Linked DNA regions of Lonchura striata. The protein of the gene in region 2 purifies or fractionates together with the protein of the main gene of each other region. This does not show direct contact. Links are inferred from orthologs where the notes say so. Each region holds a gene or a part of one and is shown on either strand. Other genes may lie near its edges.

Region 1 (3,744 bases), on a different chromosome or scaffold from region 2:
CCTGAAGGAGCTGGGGACAGCGTGGGGACACGGGTGCCTCTGTGTGACCCCTCCTCCTCCCACAGATCACGTCGTGCCTGGCCGACGTCTTCAACCAGCGCTGCGAGGTGAACCGGCGGGCGTCGGTGAGCGGCTGTGTCATCAACACCTGCGGCTGGGTCAAGAGCTCGGGCTACCAGGCGCTGGTGCACGCCGCCTCCGCCTTCGAGGTGGACGTGGTGGTGGTGCTGGACCAGGAGCGCCTCTACAACGAGCTCAAGCGGGACCTGCCCCACTTTGTGCGCACCGTGCTGCTGCCCAAGTCCGGCGGCGTGGTGGAGCGCTCCAAGGACTTCCGCCGGGAATGCCGGGACGAGCGCATCCGCGAGTACTTCTACGGTTTCCGCGGCTGCTTCTACCCGCACGCCTTCGACGTCAAGTTCTCCGACGTCAAGATCTACAAGGTGGGCGCGCCCACCATCCCGGACTCGTGCCTGCCGCTGGGAATGTCGCAGGAGGACAACCAGCTGAAGCTGGTGCCGGTGACGCCGGGGAGGGACATGGTGCACCACCTGCTGAGCGTCAGCACCGCCGACAGCCCCGACGACAACATCTCCGAGACCAGCGTGGCCGGCTTCATCGTGGTCACCGGTGTGGACCTGGAGCGCCAGGTCTTCACCGTGCTGTCCCCGGCTCCGCGCCCCCTCCCCAAGAACTTCCTGCTCATCATGGACATTCGCTTCATGGACCTCAAGTAGGGGAGGGACGGGATGTGCCCCCCGCCTCCTCCTTCTCCTTCTCCTCCTCTTCCTCCCTGAGCCCCCTCCTTGTCCCCCCAGCGCGGTGTGACCCTTTGGTTTTATACTTTTTGTACAGTTTGCTATTAAATCTGGAAGCCTTTGCCGCTGGTGAGCGTCTGCTGAGGGAGGGGTTCCCGAGGGGAGCGGGGATTGCCGGCCCGGGCTCCCCGCGCGCCGGGCCCGGTCCCGGCCGCCCCCTACGGCGCCCACTGTGGTACGTCCCGCGCACGCGCAGAGGCTCCGGCCGTGGCCCCGCCCACCGCGGCGTGAACGCGCACGCCCGCTCCTCTGCCATGCGCATGCGCGCCGCCGCGGCCGGGGCGGGCCGGCGGGAGGCGGCCAATGGAGGCGCGCGGGGGGGCGCGGTGCGCACGCGCGCGCGTGACGTCCCGCCCGCCGCAGCCGCCGCCGTCCGAGCCCGGAGCCGCCGCCGCGCGCGGCCTCCTGCCGGTGAGTCACGTGGGCCGCGCCGCCCCGCCGGGACCCCGCCGCTCCGGCACCGCCGCCGCCTCCCCGGCCCGACGCTCCCTCGCGCCCCTCGCCGCGGCCCGGCCGCCACCGCCCCCGCCGCGCCGCTGCCCCCGCGGCTCCTCCCGCGCGCGGCTCGGGCCGTGCCCCCTCACGGCGCCGCGGACCCTCCTGCCCGCCGCCCCAGCGGGCACCGACCCCCGCCCGGCCCGCCCCTCTGGCCGCGGCCCCGCTCCGCCGTTCCGCACGGCCGCCTGCCCGCTGGCCGCGGTGCCTCTGCACGGGAGCGCCGCTTCCTCCTGCCCCGGCCGCCGTGCCCGCGGCGCCGCCGGCACCGGGACCTCCTCCTGTGCCGCGGGGAGCCGGGCCGGGGGCTGAGGGAGCGGCGGTGCGGGGCTGGCGGGGAGCGGCGCCCCGCGGGCCGGGGCCGCCCCTGCGCACGGTGCGGGGCGAGCGCACCGGAGCGGGGCTCGTTCCCCGCCTGGAAACCGCCCGGGGCCGGGGAGCGGCCGCAGGGAGCCCCCGGGGACTCGTGCGCTGTCCCGCACCCGGCCTGGCCCCGGTGCCCCCGGGAGCGCCGCCCTGCGCTGCTTTGGGGCACCGGAGCTCGGCCCCTGTGCCGCGGTCCAGGGGAGTTTACAGCACGGCCTCTCTTCACGGCACCGGTACCGGCCCTGCTCCGGCTTTGGGCAGCGCTGGCAGCGGTCCAGCCTGGCCTTTCCTCAGCATTCCCAGATTCCCAAAATCCTGAGCTGTGCCGGTCCCCAGCCTCGGGGTTCCGCCCCCCTCACCGCGCCGACTGGGGAGGGGATCGGCTGCCCTGTGCTCCCCGTGGCTCTGGGAAGTGGTTCCCCCGGATCTGCCGGCTCCCGCCCCGGCACTCGGCTGGATTTGGGCTTCAGGGATTCTCCGCACTAGGGGCTGCTCGGGTTTTTTGGGGTGTGTGAAGTACAGCCAGAGCCTTGTCTCTATCAGAGTGGGAGTTATCTTGGAGCTTCTTTCTGAGCTTAATCCAGTTATCACCGTCCTTCCGCCGGGCCCAGGTGCTGCTTTAGCAGGCATTTATTCCCGTTGGTTCCCGAGGCCGGGAGCCCCGTCTGGCATTGGAGAGGGTGGTGGTTGTGTGGGTCCAAGGGGAGACCTTGAACTCCCCTGCGAGGGGCCTGTTTGGGGACATTCCCACCTGTTGCTGTGCCCGGTGTCTCCTAACACAGTGACAAGAGGCTGGCGCTGTCCTTGCTGCTGTGGGGCCCGTTGGGATGCGGCCTCAATGGATAAGGCATTGTTCCTCCTGCTTTGCCCATAAAATGGGGCTAATCCCCTGTAAACCAGAGGGATGGGCTGGGGAAGGAGGATGGGAGCGGTGTAAGCCCTGGGCAGGAGATAAGCATGGAGTGATTCCAGCCTTCTGGCTGTCTGCAGTGGAATATTTCTCCATGTTCTGTGTTGACCCTTCTGTACATTCACCTGGGAGAAAGGCGGGTGTGCAGGATGCCCCTGGAGCTGAGGGGTGGCCAAACATACATTGCTGTGCATCCTCCTTTGGAATTAAGAGCAGGGAAGTGTCTCCAGACTGCTCTGCTGGGGCAGGTGCTCTGGTTTGGACACAGGGCAGTGACCAGTGGGGATCTCACACTGGCATTGCTCTGGCCACAGTGCCAGGTTTGGGAAAATTTGCACTTCCTCTGATGGATTTTGGAGTGTGAAGTGTTAGCTGGTCGTACAGGACAGGGTGAGCAGAGGGAGCTGCAGAGGGAGGTGGGAGGTCCTTGTTCCCTGGATGCCCCTCACTCATGGTGCCAGGCAGCGAGCTCTGGAATGGCTCTGTGGAATTTTGGGGTGCAGCCAATCAAAACAATGTGGGAACAGGTGAAGCACATCCCATCTCCGTGCAGCTGGGATCTGCCCTGTCTGGGAGTTGCCTCACGTGGAAGGAATTGTTTGTGTGTTTGCCCTGTGCCATGGGAACTCGGCTGGACCGGGGTGGGTCGGGAGCTGCGGATCCCAGCGGGCGGCGCAGGTTTGGGAGCCGGTAACCGGGAGGGAACTCTGTCCTGCCTGTGCCGTGGTGGCAGGAGCCATGGTGGTTGATGCATTTCCTCCTTCCTGGACGGGAGCAGAGTGAGGAGCTGAAGTGAGGGTGGAGGGAATGTTGGGAGTTGGAGACACGTGTGTCCCCATCACAGCAGAGGTGTGGAGCGCCTCATGCTCCAGAAAGGAAAAAGCATGGAGCACCTGTCTACATGTGGGAAGGCTGGAGAGGGGCTGGAGCAGATGAGCAGAGTGGGGTGGGAAGCAGGGAAGGAGGAGCACAGGGCTGGGAGGGGAGGAAAAGGAGGAAATCTGTGAGGCTTTACAGGGCCTTGAACCAAGAAAAGGAGACACAGGCTCAGAGAAATGGAAGGTGGCAGCAGTCGTGCTTGCACTTATCTTGAGGGAGGGGATTTGGAATTAAAAGAAATCCCCAGAAATGGAGATGAAGCAAACAGGAGCAGCT
Region 2 (3,744 bases):
GAGCAAAAAAAGTTAATACTGCTAATAAGTCACCTACCAAACTGAAAATGCTTTTACTCAAATTGAATGTTGGTTGTTTTTTTTTTCTTTCCAGAAGGTGTATACACAATGGAAAAACACACTGAGAAAAAAGAAGTCATGTAGGTGACAGCTCTGAGCTACATGGACAAGGACACAGAAAACCCAACTTCAACGAATTAGCCTCATCATACATTCAATTGGCATTGGGTTTCAAGTTACTGTGGTTTCAAGATTTTCAAAGAAAGCTGTGTTACTCATTATACTTCCCCATTTGCTATGAGAGGTCTTTACAACTTCAGGCAATAACCACACAAAATGTCTTCAGTGTGGCTCAACGGCTGAAGAAAAAGGGTTGAAATAAGCCATACTGGAAGCAAGAGCAAGTGCCAGGCTTGCAGTGATGTTGTATGTCAAGATCTTCACCAAAACCTCAGCTGAGGGTTGCACATTAAGTAAATTGATGTTATCACATCCATTTCTGTCCTACCAACATGGTCACTTCTTTCCCCAGTCAGAAAAACAGCATTTCTGGACATTACTGGAATAGAGGCAGGATCCTGAGCGCTCTTTCCAGGCAGGCACAAAGGTTGGGTTCCACATCTTTATGGGCTTTGCACGCACCAAACCTTAACATACTAAAACCTGACTAGGGACCAGGACACAACAAAAAGCAACAAGATTAATCACCCATTCTGTATCACAGATCGAGCATGAGCAGAGGTGCCTCACTGAGACAAACGAGGAGCACAAGGCAGGAGACAATGTCAGAAACCAGAGAAGGATACAACTCTTAATCCTCTTTCAATGGGGTCTGTCAGCAGAAGGCCCTGAGGAGCATAGATCTTCTCATTCTGTTCCTGAATGAACTTAGCAATTTTCTTTAGAACCTGGCAATGAAACAGCACAGAAGTCACAACTGTTTCCTTTCAAACAGTATCACAGCTACGGCAAGGTGAGAACTGACACACAACTGCTCTGATGGCTCGACAGTGCAGGCACTTGCCTGGATTCAGGGTGCCCCCCATGGGACCCAAAGTGACCAGTACCAGCACGCCTGAGTTACATCCATACAGCATCTGCACCAGAACATTGCAAGTCACAGGAAACCCACCAGGACCCAAGTTCTTGCCTGCAGGATGAAAGGGAAACAAGCATTTACCTTTTCATAGTGTGTCTCCATGCACAGGAAGATGGTGTAGGCAGTCAGGCAGGCGAGACAGCCTTCCAGGTAAGATTGGCCCCCAAGTTTTTCAGCTTCTGCATAGAGGTTGTTCAGTGTCCGGACTGTCTCCTCAAACTGCTGCCTGTCAATCTGCAAGAAAAGCAAGTGGGGCTGTCAGGTGCACACTGCAGAACTCACCAGTAGCCTTGTACATCCACCTCCACTCAGGGATCATCTGCACTGCACTCAGAGCCGCAGCCTGGAGCACGCAGAGTTACACACCTGCAGCTCTTTGTCAGACACCTTCCTGTGCTCAGGCTGAGTCCGAGTCAAACACAACGTGGACACAAAACCATTCAGAGCAACACTCCTAAGCTAATGTGCAATTCAGCTGTGAAACAACCGGAATTCACACCCAGGGATGTGATGGGTTAAAATGAACAGGCGAGCGTGGAGGGACACTCCACACCCTCAGTGCCTCGGTGCTGCTGCAGTGCTGACCAAACGTACCCACAACAAAGGAACAAGGAAGAGAGAAAAGCCGAGCGAGCGAAAGAAAATGGGGTAGGAAGGCGTGTTTGTTTGACTGTCAGCTTAAGAGCCCACATCTGATAGCACTGACCAAAACGTAAGTACTTGAAACAGCGTTTGTGAGGCTTCTGAGTGGGCAGGACGGGTAGGATTTCAAGGGAGAGGACAATGCTATCACCTGAGAGAACAGACCCGACTCTATTCGCACAAACACAACGAGTACATTCTGCTCTACTGCAAACCAGCCACCTTCCCCAGGACTGACCAGAGTCCGGGACCGGGACACGAGGAAGGAACCACGTCCGCTCCTGCGCCTGAGCGGTTCGGTCAGATTCCTGCAGGAGATGCTACCCCGGCCCTCGGGGAACCCGCGGGACCAGCTCCGACCGAGGCAGGGCACCTGCGAACGCCACCTGGGCGCAGGCCCGTAAGGCCCGGCCTGGTCCCGCCCGGCGTGCAGGCTCCGTGCGCCGCGCTCGCCGCGAGCCCCGGGCCAGCCCCCGTCCGCCCCGCCTCACCCGGTTCTCCAGCTCGGCCGGGAACTTGCTCTGGAACTGGCAGCGCGTCCCACCGCTGTAGTCGCGCTGGATGAACACCTTGCCCGACACAGGCGCCTGCTGCGGCCTCATTGCGCCGCCGCCCCGGTCCCGTCCGGTCCCGTCCGGTCCCGCCGCTCCGCCGGCCGCCCCGCGCACTTACGGCTGTCGCAAAACCACCGAGGCGACGCCGGGCTCGGGTGAGGGCGGAAGTGCCGCCAGGCGCCACAAGGCGCGGCACTGCGCAGGTGTAGCCTCGGAGCCCGCAGAACGGCAGGAGCGCGCATGTGCAAAAGCACCCATATCCGATTGGGCGTACGGCTGATTTCAAGCGCGGCCAGCTCACGTGACACACCCCCCCCGTTCCCTCCCAGCCGTACTTGGTACCGCCCGGGCCCGCGGCAACACCGCCTGTCCCGGCGGCCCCCCGGCGTACTTGGTACCGCCCGGGCCCACAGTCGCCGGCTGTCCCGGGGCCCGGCCCTGTCCCGGGCCCGCCGCTCCCAGCTCGGGCCTCAGTTCCATGGTTTTTCGTAGGAACCGGAGCCGCTGCGCGCAGAGCGACGCTCCCGCAGCTTTGTCGCAGCTGGCTGTGCTGCCGCACGCGGGGTCCGGTGGCGGCCCGTTAACCTTTGCCCGAGGGCTCTGGGCTGCCGAGGCAGCGAGAGCAGCGGTCCCTCGGGCCAAGGCAAACCTGGCAGCAGAGAGCGCAGGGACGGCCTCACCCCGAGCGCCGTGTCCTGGGGCTGTGCCTCTGGAGCTCATCCTCCGGGACCCGACCTTCAGGAGGGGCTCGTGCTTGGGGTGCTCGTGCTTGTGGTGCTCGTGCCGACGGTGCCATGGGGCCACACAGTGCCACTCTGCTCTTCCTGAGAGCCATGGGCAAATCCGAGGTGTTGAGCAGCCACTGACCCCTCGCTGTTCATGGGCACAGTGTTTTCCAGCCTGACCAAGCATGGACGCTTGTGGCTCTCAGAGCAGACAGACACTTTGAAACAGAGTCTTTCAGGCCACCTAATGCAGTAGAGATGCAAGAGGACAAATCAAATTTATAGACATAGCTAAAGGTGGGAGATATACTCGCAAAGCCAATTTGTGTCATTTTATGGGCTTGAAAGAGTCTAAGTCAGACGTCCCTGTATGGTTTGAATTAGGCAGGGACGGGTATTCTGGAAAGCCAGATCTGAAGAAGTTTTTATTTAGGGCATTTGAAATTGAGTATGGGCCATCCAGCATTTCTGTAATGCTCTCAAATAAAGTATTTCAGAACACAAGCTTCCACATGACAAAGAAAATGATGAATACATGAAAATAGAGATATCTATCTTGCATTAAATATTCAGGAATAGAATTTCATCTGTGTATCAACAGACAAACTGAGAATTTCAAAGGGTGCTGCTTTCAAAAGAAAAATGTTTAAAAACCCAAAAATACAGAAAGAAGCTCTAAGTAGCACCAAAAAATGCAGGTTTTTTTTCTCTTTTTTTTGTGCTA
Region 3 (3,744 bases), on a different chromosome or scaffold from region 2:
AGAGAGAAGAAACCTTTGGAAAAATCTAGAGCTAGAGAAGAGAATAAACCTTGAACAACCCTAATAATCCCCTAGTTTCCAGGAGTCATGTTTTGGCAACCACATTGATGGTACTGTGACACACACTTTTGCACAGCCACTCAAGAGGCTGCAGCCCTCCTGAGGCTATTAAAAATGTCTGAAACCCCTGCTGATTCATAAAGGAGAGGTAACTCTTCTACTCTTCTAATTTTAACTACTTGTGAACTAGACTAATGATTCTTAAAAATCCTTATTTCCACTGTTGTCCAGATAAATACCAATTACTTTCAATATGGAAACTGCTGGTTTTGTTGAAAATCAACTGGAATTTTATATTATTATCTTAAAGAAAACTGGGGTTTGGCTGACTGAGAAGACCAAAAGCCTAACTCACAGACTACCCACCCAGTAATGAACTCAGCTGGATTAGTGTGTCTCTTACAATTCATGCTAATGGTCTCCAAAAGCTCTGAAGCCCCATGAAACTCATAATTCTGTGGCCTCACATAGAGAGAGGAGCCATCCAAACAGTGCTCCCAGCTGTGCTGCTGGACTGGATTTCCTGATGCTGCTGGCTGCACTTTCCTTAAAGTGCCTTTAAGCAACTTGGATGAAGTGTAGGACAAGGTCATGGTGATTTAGGCATCTCTGTTCCCTGCTCTTCCCTTGTGGCTGTAAGGACAGGATAAACTGTAGTGTAAAAACACAACAGCTGAAGTGTCTGCTAACTTAGTACCAGTAAACAGATAGTTATCCTTTTTTGCAGGATAACTACCAGGTTTTTCATGTTCATGGAGAGGACAAACAGTGACATGCATCTTCTTCCTTTTTATCTGAAAAAAGCAAACCTGACTGCAGGCAGTCATCTGGTTCACTAAGAGCACACACTTAACAGATTATTTTTCACATGTATCTGTCAAAACCCATAAGGGTAGGTAGCCATCCTTTGTCCTCAGAACTCACAAAATTCACTGAAAATTATGAGATGCCATGCCAAATCTATTCAGAGGTTCCTTTTATTTGCTTTTTAACTTGTAGGTTTACCCTTTAGCCACACACTTTCCTTGCACATGCTGGAAGGGAAATAATCATTCCTTTAAAAGGAAAGCTGAAGGGTTTTGAGGATATAGCCACCTATTAGCATCACACATAGTCAGTCCACTCAGGGAACAGCCATGCTGCCACATACCAATTTAGGCACTTCAAAACCAGGGTTTTTTTTTTACTCAGTTATTTAAGTCAGGTCTGAGATTTGCTTCATCAAGGGAGTCAGTCATAAACCCTGGTACCCTGTGGGGGAAAATATGCGTCAAGGACTGAAGTACTTTCTGTATTCATGCTCCATATTTTGATTTTACATGTTATAAGTCTGTAATGTCTTCATTACCTGCCAGCCCTCTATGGTGGATAGCTGCCAATGAGCTGCCCAAAAAACTTCTAACAGTACCCCTAGTGTTCTTGTCTTTTGTCTTTGGATACAATAATTTTTCTCTAGGTTTACAGATGACAATTGCCTGCACCATATTTCTAACACTGCACATGAACTAGCAAAAATTACTGACCTATGGTGAGTCAATTCAACAGAGAAATATTTCTTTTCCTCTCTCCCTCACCCCCACAGTGAACCCTCCTCAATAATATATGATGGAGCAAACTGCACTTACAACTGAAGTGGAAAATTTTTAAACCTAACTGCTATTAAGAAGTCCAAAGAAGAAGAATGGAGTTTATACGAACAAAGGCTGTTTTTAGAAACACAGCTAATCAGATTAATGACTGTTTTGGACGAAGTATTGCTTCCCAATAAATAGATAAGTATTATGTGTCATGTGTACACATGTTGATTTTATATAATAGATTTTCTTTTTCTGGAGTATCAAAGTACTATTTGGAAAAATGGGTAACTCCAAATAAAATTATAATTTTCTCCCTCCAGCAAAGTCTACCAGTTATTTTTACAAAATAGGACTTCTATCAAGTCAACCTTATAATTAGAATAATAAAAGCTCATTTGAAATCTAAAAACCACAAGCCTTTTCGTGACCAGAAAAGGTTTAATTAGCTACTCAGATTGCTAAAATAATTGTATGTAGCTCCAACTATTTTTGCCACCCAAAAAGAAGAAATAGGAGGCTTCCCACTTTCATGCTGAGCAAGGCAGCTCAGAAATATGGACAACTTAAAATGCTGAATTAGCCAACAGCCTCAGTGGCAGTTTAACTGACAAAAGGCAGCATTAAACTAAGGACAAAACAGCCAGTGGCCATTAAAAAGGTTTGGTTTTTGTGGGTTTACTTCCTTAAAAAAAAAAGAAACCAAACAGAAACAAAACCAAAAACAAAACAACAAAACTTTGGATTTAATTGACCACAGCTGAGAACAGATTACTCCTGCAGGTCACACAGCCACGTTGGCTGTTTTACAGTCCTGTGCCCTCCAAGCGTCAAAGCCGATCTGAGCACAGCATTTGGAAGGAAGCGAAGGCTGCTGAAGGAAAGATTACCTGGGGGGATCTGTGCTTCACTCCAAAGAGAGCAATCCTTCACTGGCAGCACTTTTAATATCAGGCACCACCGAGAAATGCAAGAGACAGTGAAGCCTTTGGAAAGAAGAGAAAATGTTACAATCAGGAAAAAATAACCGTCTTGAAGTATTTTTTCTAAGTAGGGAACTTAATCCACTTGTATTCAAATACTGGGTCACCCACATATTTTCTCTCACATCTGAAGTTTTTTTCTCCCAAGTGAACTGAGAATAAAATAGCCCCAAAACCAAGATTTGAACCCGTTCAACAAGGATGCTACTGTAAACCTGGAGATAGGAAGCTCTGGATATAAAGGTGAGTATAAACAATCTGAGCTCTTCACTGACATGTACAGCAGCTTGTACTTGTAAATATTTCTTCTGTTAAGATCTTCAGGAATCAGTGTATGTCAGGGTTGATAGCAAATGTTCTTTAAACCATTTCCAGATACACTCCTGTATGTCAGTGAGCAGGTTAATGCTTCTCCCACGAGGCACAGTGTGTACCTGATGCTGTGGTGTACATCTGAACACCACCATGTTATGGCACTGGGAAACTTTAATAAAGCAGTTTTATCACAGGTACTGTTGAAACAGTATGGAATTGTGCTGCAATTTTCTAGGTTTTTGAATAGCAAACCCATAAACATTTTAAGAAACATTTCACAAAGAAACACTTTGAGAAGTGGCCTTACATGAATCGCATATCACCTCCAAATCTAAATATAAAGAAATCTGCAACATGGGATTATCTAACCCGGCACACCCTTTCTCCCCCACAAAAAAAAAAAAAAAAAAAAAAAAAAAAAAAAAAAAAATAACCCTGGGTCTGCAAAGTACAGCGTGGTCACTACACACCCAGATGAAAGGAACCCCCACCTCTCGGGTGAGCGCTCAGGTAAGCAAACAAACACATGCGAAAAACTTTCTGTGTATTACGGAAACAACATTCAAGCCCTCCCCACCCTCCCCAGCTGCAGCTTCTCAGCCCCAGCCCGGCCCGTGCTGAAACCCGCTTCCCATTCCACGGGGTCAGGCGGCCCCGGGGAGAATTTACCTGTCCCAGCCTCACCAAAGAGTGGGATTATGGCTGTAAAACTGCTCCTCCCTTCCTCCAGCCACTCCTGCCCGACTCCCGCCTCCCTGAGCATCCCCGGCCGGGCTGGGGACCCCTTGTCCTCCTCCCCAGGCAGCTCCCGC

The links.
Region 1: the proteins of GOLGA7 (region 2) and ZDHHC5 purify together in Homo sapiens (co-immunoprecipitation; 3 studies listed by BioGRID and IntAct, with this or other methods). This does not show direct contact. The link is inferred for Lonchura striata from reciprocal best matches to the Homo sapiens genes GOLGA7 and ZDHHC5.
Region 3: the proteins of GOLGA7 (region 2) and CLDND1 purify together in Homo sapiens (affinity purification with mass spectrometry; 3 studies listed by BioGRID and IntAct, counting the BioPlex papers as one, with this or other methods). This does not show direct contact. The link is inferred for Lonchura striata from reciprocal best matches to the Homo sapiens genes GOLGA7 and CLDND1.

The regions. Positions count from the first base shown.
Region 1 is NC_134608.1:53,132,122-53,135,865, reverse strand, and holds the start of ZDHHC5 (palmitoyltransferase ZDHHC5), read left to right. Parts: upstream 1-1,157; 5' UTR 1,158-1,229; intron 1,230-3,744. Other genes in the region: polyribonucleotide 5'-hydroxyl-kinase Clp1, read left to right, coding at 66-737. UniProt on the Homo sapiens protein: Palmitoyltransferase that catalyzes the addition of palmitate onto various protein substrates such as CTNND2, CD36, GSDMD, NLRP3, NOD1, NOD2, STAT3 and S1PR1 thus plays a role in various biological processes including cell adhesion, inflammation, fatty acid uptake, bacterial sensing or cardiac functions.
Region 2 is NC_134634.1:4,769,103-4,772,846, reverse strand, and holds the start of GOLGA7 (golgin subfamily A member 7), read right to left. Parts: upstream 2,501-3,744; 5' UTR 2,344-2,500; coding exon 2,233-2,343; intron 1,334-2,232; coding exon 1,181-1,333; intron 909-1,180; coding exon 807-908; intron 1-806. UniProt on the Homo sapiens protein: May be involved in protein transport from Golgi to cell surface. The ZDHHC9-GOLGA7 complex is a palmitoyltransferase specific for HRAS and NRAS.
Region 3 is NC_134604.1:24,184,373-24,188,116, reverse strand, and holds the start of CLDND1 (claudin domain-containing protein 1), read right to left. Parts: upstream 2,621-3,744; 5' UTR 2,525-2,620; intron 1-2,524. UniProt on the Homo sapiens protein: Plays a role in negatively regulating the permeability of cells to small molecules.